2 linked regions of the Yarrowia lipolytica genome follow. The protein of the gene in region 1 interacts with the protein of each later gene in a pairwise test. Links are inferred from orthologs where the notes say so. Each region holds a gene or a part of one and is shown in the gene's direction. Other genes may lie near its edges. The genes, in order: YALI1_F39885g and YALI1_F09456g.

Region 1 (5,637 bases):
TCGAGGATGTCTTACAAAGGAGCGATTCTGAAGAGTCATAAAATGGCCCAACACGAGATGCTCCCAAGTCTCGTGGGTGTTCTGGGTTCTGAGGAAACAGAATGGTTGGCTATTTTTCAAGGTATCATTGGGGTCTCTCACAGCTGTAGTTGCTTCTTCGAAAACTTCAGCTATTCGGGATGGAAGTGAGCGGGCCCGAAGTTCGTAGATGGACACTACCGTATCGAAAGGTACCATGTGCTTGAATGCCTTCTGAAGTACGCTTCCAAGCCATCCGTTCGTTCCTCGACAGGGGTTCATGCAAATTAGGGCCAAGGGCTGTCCGTATGCTCTTAAATGATCCAAAACGGCGACCCGAATGTCCCTGATCAGGTCCAGCGCGTTTTTGGGTTTGCAAGGTATGCTGAATGTGGCAGCCTTGGTGAGATAATCGATGAAGAGCAGAGAATATCCATTCGCGTTAGACAAAGGAAACAGGGCAAAAAACACAACTCCGGGTCGTTCGCAGATTGGGTTTAATTGCGAATTCTTCAGATGATGCTGAAACACCTTGTCCCAAATCGTCCTCTGCATCTTATCCTTCAAGCTTTGGGTCAAGGCCCTGCCACTCTCCGTCTCGTCAAGCCGTGCCTCCAGAGCTTGCAATGCCAGCTTCTCGTCCATATGCATGCCAGATATACTCCATGCAATGATACTCTCAACCATCTCCTTCGGAATTCTTCCAATGTTGAGTCGTTTCTCTAGCAGTTCGCTCACGTAAGTAGCATTCGTAGAGCACCCCGTCATGAAGTGAGCAGCAAGCACCACCCAAGGCACGTGATCTCTGGTCACTCTCACAACCTCCTCGCCCGTGTTTGAATCATTGTCGACGATAAAGGCGGCATTCTGACGCTCCTTCTCATATTCCTCCGGTTCTTGTAATGTGTAGTCCTTGGAAACGCGTCTGTACCATGCCGAAAAGAATAGAAAATAGGAGTCCAGCCGGTCGAAGACTTTCGGTAGTGACAAAGTCTCCCGTACCCTTTGCTGTAATCTGTCTTCCATGTGGCGAGTCCAAAAGACAGCTCGTTGTGCCAAAAAATCGAAATTGAGTAGTGAATGAGTTCTTCTGAACTTGTTAAGCTTGACCCAGCGCGTAAAGATCTTGATATGCAGGAGAAGAAACCCAACTATAAAAACCACACTTCATAACAACAACAGGAGTGAGGATAATGATGATCAGCAACCAATACTTGTAACAAAGACATGACTCACAAAGTGCTTAGTGTACAAAGTAATATAGAATCTACAAGTAGTCGGTATGTTGGTTATATAAATGTTAGGATTTAATCATACACGTTATACAGTATGTGTTCGGGTCAGTGCATGCGCTGACTTTTATATACACCTCGAGAGGCTATTGACTCAATAAAGACTCGTGGCAATGTACCAAACTGTCCAAAATCGAATGGCCATTTCCCTTTATCACCATTTAGAAATATTTCCTTGTCGTCTGGATTTGGTCATCATCCAATCTATCACTAGATAGCATGCTCTTCATCCGCTAGCCTTATGTAATCAACCCTAGCCCTGAATCTTAAATCCAATATGCAGCTACATTTACACCCCGTGCAAGAGTTACACAAACAGAAATGGCCGACGAAGACGCTGACTGGGCCAGAGCACTCGGTGGCGACCCTACCAACGTTGGAGGTGTTGTCCCATCGCTTGATGGTGCAGATGCCATCAAACACTCCGCAGACGCCATCGATTTCGAGGACGAAGACGAGCTGGCAGATGATGAGCTGCCCGAAGAGGAGGAAGCAACCGGAAACAACGTGATTGAGGAGGATGAGGAGATGATTGTCGAGGAGGAAGCTGGTCTATCCATGTCTGGGAACGATAGCCTGGGTGGCTTCCAGTTCCACATTGGCGAGGATGAGCTTGGAGGATTTGATCTGGGAGATGACGAACATTGGAGCCAGAGCTGGGGAGGCAACGAAATGGACGAGCTGCCTGTGATGGACGAGTACGATGATGGTGGTGTTGTCCATGCTGGAATGTTGAATAACAATGCCAACAGCAACAACCATGTCGTGCATGCCGGTGAACCTGGAGAGTCAGACGAAGAGATGGAGATGGAGGCTGCTGGAGGCGACGGGCTGGACATGAAGCTTGACGCAGATGAGCTAGGCGAACTGGGAAAGTTAGGGCCTGCCGACAAGATGGACGCCTCTGGATTTGATGACATCCAACACATGAACATCCAGGAGCTCAATCTGGAGGAAATTGCACAGATGGCGCGTCAGGCTGATCTTGACATGCTTGCAATGTACTTCCCCGGGTTCCAAAAGGGCAAGCCTATGAAGATGAACTCGCTCTTCTACAACAAGTTTGCTGTTCTGAGTCTGCCCAAGCCTAACACTGCTCGTCCGTGTGTCCCCACAAAGACTAAGCTGGAGGTGGCGCCAGATGAGCGTAAGATGACACGAGGAACAGTGTGGGTGGACCATGCTAAGCGGCGACCGGGTGTTGTAACAGTCACCGAGGCCGAGACGGGGGACGATAAGCAGGAACTGGCCCGAGAAAGCAGAACCACACAATCAGCAACAGACCAGCAGCTGCATTTCGACATTACTGACTGGAAGATCACGTGGGGAGATGAGGATGATGGGGATGGAGACGTGGATATGGATTGCGAGGGCGAAAAGGTCAAGGAGGAACAAAAAGAGGTTGTTCCACAGCTCGGCGTGCACAGAAACGAAGAGGCCTGGAACGACGAGGCCTTGTTTGAAGGCGATGCTCTCAGTCAGGTGAAGAAGGTCAACCTCGATATGAACGACCCCAACCTACTGTTCATCAACACAGATGGTCGTGTATCGAAGAATGTGACTCCTGCCATTCCCTCCACCGAACTACAGCTTCGAAACAGATTTAACCTCAGTAACGACCGAGCCTACGATATGCTCAAGGAGAACACACAGAGCAAGGTACGAGCCACTATTGGCAATCTGTCTATCGATCACTCCATGCCAGCTCTCCGACTGCAAAGTCCATTCTACAAAGTGCGAATCTCGAAGCCTCAGGCTCGTTCGTTCCATCGGCCATCATTTGTGGTGAAACCCAACACTACTGTTCACTTTTCGCGAATGAAGATCCGAAAGAAGAAGCGAGACAGGGGAAAGCCTATCAAGGATCTTTTGGCCAAGACTACGGACTTGTCGTTGGGTGACTCTGCTCAGTACTTCCTCATGGAGTACGCTGAGCAATTCCCCATGACCCTCTCCAACTACGGAATGGGCTCTAAGATGATCAACTATTACAGAAAAGCTTCTCCTGAGGATACTTCCCGACCTAAGCTCCCCGTTGGAGAGACACATGTTCTGTCGGTCCAGGACAAGTCTCCCTTTTGGAACTTTGGATTCGTCGAGCCGGGTAAGATTGTGCCTACTCTGTACAACAAGATGATCCGAGCCCCCGTATTCAAGCATACACCACGTGACACAGATTTTCTTATGATCCGATCAACTGGAGGCGATGTGACTGGGGCTGGCCAAAAGTACTTTCTGAGAAATATTCCACATGTCTTCACTGTCGGTCAAACATACCCCGTGACTGACGTACCCGGGCCACACTCTCGAAAGGTAACCACGGCTTCCAAAAACCGGCTCAAGATGATTGTCTATCGAGTGCTAAACGCATCACCTTATCATAGAATCAACGTGAAGGATATCGCCGAACATTTCCCTGATCAGATTGACACTCAAAACCGACAGAGGCTCAAGGAGTTTATGGAGTATCAGCGAACAGGTGAGGATCAGGGTTACTGGAAGGTCAAGCCTACCGATACTCTTCCTGGCGAGGACGGCATCAGAACCATGATCACACCCGAGGACATCACTCTCTTGGAGGCCATGCAGGTTGGTGTTCAGAACCTTGAGGATGCTGGATATGGTCGAACTGACGACATTGAGAGCGACCATGAGAATGGCGAGGAGTCTGGTCTTTCTCTGGAGGAGCAGTCTGCTCCATGGAACCTGACCAGAAACTTCATCAACGCTACCCAGGGCAAGGCCATGCTGCAGCTGCATGGCGAGGGTGATCCTTCTGGTCGAGGCGAGGGTTTCTCATTCCTCAAGACTTCCATGAAGGGTGGTTTTCAGGCCGCTGGTGAGTCTGTCAATGAGAAGCTTGACAAGAGCAAGTTTGGCGGACACAAGTACAACGTGGCCCACCAGCAGCGTGCATACGACGATGAGATCAGCCGAATCTGGTATGCCCAGTGTCGAGCTCTCAGCAACACCAAGGTACCTGAAGAGAACGACGAAGATTCAAAATGGGCCGATGCTGAGGAGCAGCGAGAACAACAAGAGCGGGTGTCTACGCCTGGTTTCACTAGCGCAGCCTTCCCCGACGATGATAACATGTCGCTCATGTCAGGCGACTCGGCCATGCAGCAGCGCAACAAGGTGCTGCGAATCACGCGAATGGTCAAGGACGAGCACGGTATCATCCAGCGAAAGGTCGAGACCATCAAGGACCCCAGTGTCATTCGAGCATACATTCGACGACGAAAGCTGATGGACGAGGCCAAGCTAACACTCGACGACTTAGACCCCACCAACGACGAGGAGGCCAACAAGCGAAACAAGCGGCTGCTGGAGGAGCGGCTGGAGGATCTGCGAAAGAAGGGCGAGCGACGAAAGCAGCGACAGGCCCAGAAGCAGGGTCTCAACACAATCAACCTCGGCACCGACACTCCTCCCCCTTCAGGCAAGGGTGTCGGCAAAGGCAAGGGTCCGCGACAGTGCAAGAACTGTGGTGCATATGGCCACATTCGAACCAACAAGAGTTGTCCCATGTACAACCAACTCGAGGGACCTGCCAACCTGTAGTTGTATAGCATGGAGGAATAGTAAATTATTATGTATTATTGCACAGGTAAAGACGTAAAAAAATCGTACAAACAAGAGAAAACAGTGGTCGGTTATGGTGCTACAGTATGTACTGCACATACAGTATTAACAATACTCATTAAGTATAAGTGTTTGAGAATGGCTCGGAAAAGGTTGGTGTGATTCAATTACATAGGATAAATGGCCTCATACATCAGGCCTTCTGTCGATTCAACATCAGAAAACTTGCCACTCCAATGCTCAACTCTCTTGCCAACTCGGGGAGGATCAATCATCATCTCTCTCTTGTCCACATTGATAGCACAGTAGAAAATCCAATTGAGATAACCGCAATGGTTCTTGAGAATGTTGAGTCGTTCTAGAAGATTGAATGATCCATGGTGACACTGATTATTCTCTGGTCCAGCGCAGGAATAGACATCTTCAATAGGAGCATTAATACCTGTGGGATCACTGATGTAAACTTCTCCCAGAGTATGTGAATAACCAGCGGGCCATCCAACAAAGAAGTCGTTCCAGTGAGTGACTCGGTACATCCGTCTTTCGGGGTTGATGGTAAGTCCGTCGTCTCCTTGCTTAAAGAACAGAGCGTCCACGTAGTCTGCAAAAGCCTTGTTTCCAAGTCGAGGCTGCCCATAGTTGATTAGCGTTGGATCATATCCAAGATTCTTCAGGTTGATGCCCATGAATAGAGCAGTGACAGCTCCTAGAGAGTGGCCAGTTACGATCAATTTGTAGTCAG
Region 2 (3,723 bases), about 3.0 Mb from region 1:
GGGTCACGGGAACAAAAGCCTATGCAGGTCGATAGTCAAGTGTCTACAAGTAGAGGGGTAGTTGGTGGGATGAGGTTAATAGCTGTAGTTGTAGGAATGAGGCGTGGGTGTAAAATGAGTGTTTATATAGTGTCATCAGATGACTGTTTATAGAGACGGAATTCGCACAGATGATGTGGTATTGCTCCTATATCTCCGACCCCCCTCTCTCATGCATTGCATCTTGCTGTGGCGCATTATCTGTGTGACCCCGATAAGACGTTACCCGGAAGTGGATTTGGGGCATGTCATGTGAAATGGAGCAGACCAGGCCTGGGCGAGAGTGTGTCATATGACCAAAGGGGCATGAGGAGGAGGTGGGTAGTTAAATTGGTTGTATTTACAGTTATGTCGGGAGCTGAAGGGTGGTTTTGGAGGCGGGTGTTTTTGTTTGTATGTTTGAGTAAATTTTGGCATTAAAAATGAACAAAAATTACGTAAAATAAACAAAAATCAAGGGAAGTAGATATAGTTGTCATTGACGTATTAAATGGGCATTGGCGGATTATAATGGACTTGGACGGATTAGAATGATCATTTCACGGCTACAAGTACCGTAATGCTTGATATTTAACAACAGCTGATTCTCTTCTATGAGCTATAGTAGCTACTGTATGTACAGTACATACTGTACTTACTGGTATGTTATAGTAAGAGCTTCTGGTACATAAGTACATTATGTATTCGTAGTCTATAGCGTCAATATCCTACTCGTACTGTACTTACTGTACTGTAACTACGATACTATGAGCTAACTATCAGCAGACCCTTAGAGGAATACTTATAGCTAAGGCAAGTGACAAGAATGCTCATATATTGACCAATAGTATTCAATACAGAGAAGATACAGACAATGTACCAGACGAGATCTCTTGTATGATTCAGTTAATGTCCCATAATTGGATGGTTCATAGCAGACCCATCTGGGAAGAAGATATCTGAGGGCTGATACCAGGACCTCATCATGACCAATGATAGCAGGGAGTATGTTGTGAACCAAGTCAAGTTCTGCTCCACATTGTAATCATTCACACAGCATCTACGAGTACATACCGTGTACTGTACTTCCACAGTCACCGCTGTTCCGATAAAGCTAGGAATAGACCAGGAGATGGTAAGTATAAGTATGTATGTTTTGTATGTATGTACATACTGGACAGTATGTACCAGTTCTATCAGTTACTACAGTAATTAGTCCAATCCACTCAATCACACTGGTGGTCATTTTTGGTAACCGTTGATCACTTGAAGTTGGCCATCTCACTGACCTATAGCCCGATTATCATGATGTACTCATGCCACCATGAAAGCCCAAGTAGGTACAGTCTTGCTCTCTCACTTCCACCAGTGGTATCAAAGATGAGTCACTCTTGACAATACCGCCGTTCGAAGACTTCAAGGAAGACTACGTGGTCATCCGAGGTATCGACACATGTCTCCACCAGTGTCTGTGGTATCTCACTGGGTTATCAACTATAGCTACGTTCAGTACATTACATACTTATGATGGTAAGACGTTGAACATTACGTCATGTTCACCAGCAAAGTGATATGGGAGGATGGTAGGTTACGGAAGTATATATTAGAGAAGGTTCTGGTGGCTCCAATTTGAGGGGTCCTGCAACAGTACTTTGAACCAATAAAATGGGCTGTAATTTTTCATAATTACTGATAATACCACCAAGCAGAGGTTTATCAAAAAACTGAGTGAAAATATTATCACAATGACATTCTAAGACCTCTCATAGACATACCCCCATCCTACATACAAAGAAAACCTTGATTGCTGTACAGTGTGGTATTATGTATTGTACGATACGATTCTAATAAATTGCTGTGTGAGGGAGTGCTCTAGGGATGTCTCATTGAGTATTAGCAAATCTTTTTGGGCACAAGAGCACGTTTGTTCCGTCATTCTGCTCAATCCGCCTATATAAAGCAGTTCTCTTCTCCCTCCTCTCACCGTCTCCAACATGACACAGCACCACCTCACATACTCCCAACCTGTGAAACTCTGTCCTGCCCTGTGGTGCAGGAGCAGACCAAATCACTGTGTCTAACAGCTCCTCATCCAACAACATGTCTCAACGCGACTCAGCTTCGCCACATCCGCAGGCCTCGCCGGGGATGGCCAAGCAGGAGCCCGTGCTGTTGCCCGGCCGGGAAAAGTCGCCGCCCCAGCAGCTCCAGTTCCACCAGGAGTTCCCCAACAACAGTTTCAAGCGCACTTCCACGTCGGCCATGACGCCACCAATCTCCAAAAAGCCGAAAATGGCGCCGCAGACCTTCAACAACTACAATGCGTCTAACTATGGCCAGTTCCAGGCGTCACCCATGAACTCGGGCGCAAATACACCCATTCCACAGCAACAAAACATGCCGCAGAACCAACAGACACAGAACCAACAACAGGGAGGCCCCGGCGGACAGGGACCCGGACAACCACTCGATCCTGATCAGCTCAGTGACGTCATTTCGGCGGTGGGTCTTGATCTCAAGCAGGAGGAGGCGCTGTTGCAACAGGGAGTGCCCCAGGCCGGCTACGGCATGCAGCAGCAGCAATACGGATACAGACAGCAGGGACACGCGCTGCTGGACCAGAAACGGGTGGCGTACACGGTCCGACAGCTAAGCCAGGAAGCTGGCCTGCGATTCAACAGTGATAGAGCCGGAGAAACGGCTTTGCTCATCTCGCACGCCTGTGAGGAGTGGCTCAACCAGATTCTGACTCAGGCGCTGGTTCTGTCGCGACATAGACGGCGATCGAGAAACTCGGTGCACAGTAGCCTGTCACGTGCGCTCAAGGGTATCGCTGTCAAAGACAAGGAGCGGGAGGACAAGCGAGCAGAGCGCAAGAACCTGCTGGGTCTGGATCACGCGGAACCCGAGTCTGCAGCCAACCCCGAGGACCAGCAGCACAAGGCTGCCAACATGACGGCCGCCATGATGTCTTCGGGCAAAAAGAAGTACTCGTGGATGGCAGGAGGCGTGGGAGCCAGTGCTGGAGGAATGCGAATGGGCCAGACAGGCGGAGGCAGAGGCGACTCGGCGATAAAGACACGAGAAGCCAAGGAAGAACCCGGAGTGGCCCTCAGAGATTTGCTGGGAGCCCTAGAGAAGGAGAGAGCAGGAGTGGAAAAGGCCATCGTGAAGGGCTATGCCAAGTTGAGAAATTAACCGTCAGAGGTGAGTGGTTGGTTTTGTAAAAGAGAAGTATAGCTGAAGGGCGACCATCAAAATCATTAGTGTGGATTCATTGAAGTGATTGGAGGAGGAGGATAGCTTCATCGGATAGGCTCCGTGGTTGAAAGAGGTAAAGCTTTCCAGTATGTTATGGAAAAACTTATTGACAGCAGCATAAGAGCTAGGATACAGGTATAGCAAATAACGAAATGTATATTATATGATATGATGGATGGGATTGTACAGGTACAAGTACGCGTCATAGAAACCATCTGTAGGCGAAATAGATGACTGTCCAGTTTATGACGGCGGAACCAAATATGGTCCCTATGACAATTGCATCTCTCCAGGTGAACTTCCGTTTGGGGGCCTCAAACGTCTGCTCATGTACTTTTTGTAAAATCCCTTTTCTAACGTCGAACACATACTTTTTGGCACTTCCCATGACCATGACGTACCGAGTTCCCCACCAGGGGTCCCTGTGACTCCCTGTTGATCTAA

The links.
Region 2: the proteins of YALI1_F39885g (region 1) and YALI1_F09456g interact in binary tests that used the Saccharomyces cerevisiae proteins (3 or more experiments, as listed by UniProt). The link is inferred for Yarrowia lipolytica from reciprocal best matches to the Saccharomyces cerevisiae genes TAF1 and TAF4.

What each region holds. Positions count from the first base shown.
Region 1 is NC_090775.1:3,984,584-3,990,220, reverse strand, and holds YALI1_F39885g (uncharacterized protein), read left to right. Parts: upstream 1-1,631; coding exon 1,632-4,874; downstream 4,875-5,637. Other genes in the region: YALI1_F39891g (uncharacterized protein), read right to left, coding at 1-1,044; YALI1_F39844g (uncharacterized protein), read right to left, coding at 5,063-5,637. UniProt on the Saccharomyces cerevisiae protein: Functions as a component of the DNA-binding general transcription factor complex TFIID. Binding of TFIID to a promoter (with or without TATA element) is the initial step in pre-initiation complex (PIC) formation.
Region 2 is NC_090775.1:943,576-947,298, forward strand, and holds YALI1_F09456g (uncharacterized protein), read left to right. Parts: upstream 1-2,118; coding exon 2,119-3,216; downstream 3,217-3,723. Other genes in the region: YALI1_F09481g (uncharacterized protein), read right to left, coding at 3,482-3,723. UniProt on the Saccharomyces cerevisiae protein: Functions as a component of the DNA-binding general transcription factor complex TFIID. Binding of TFIID to a promoter (with or without TATA element) is the initial step in pre-initiation complex (PIC) formation.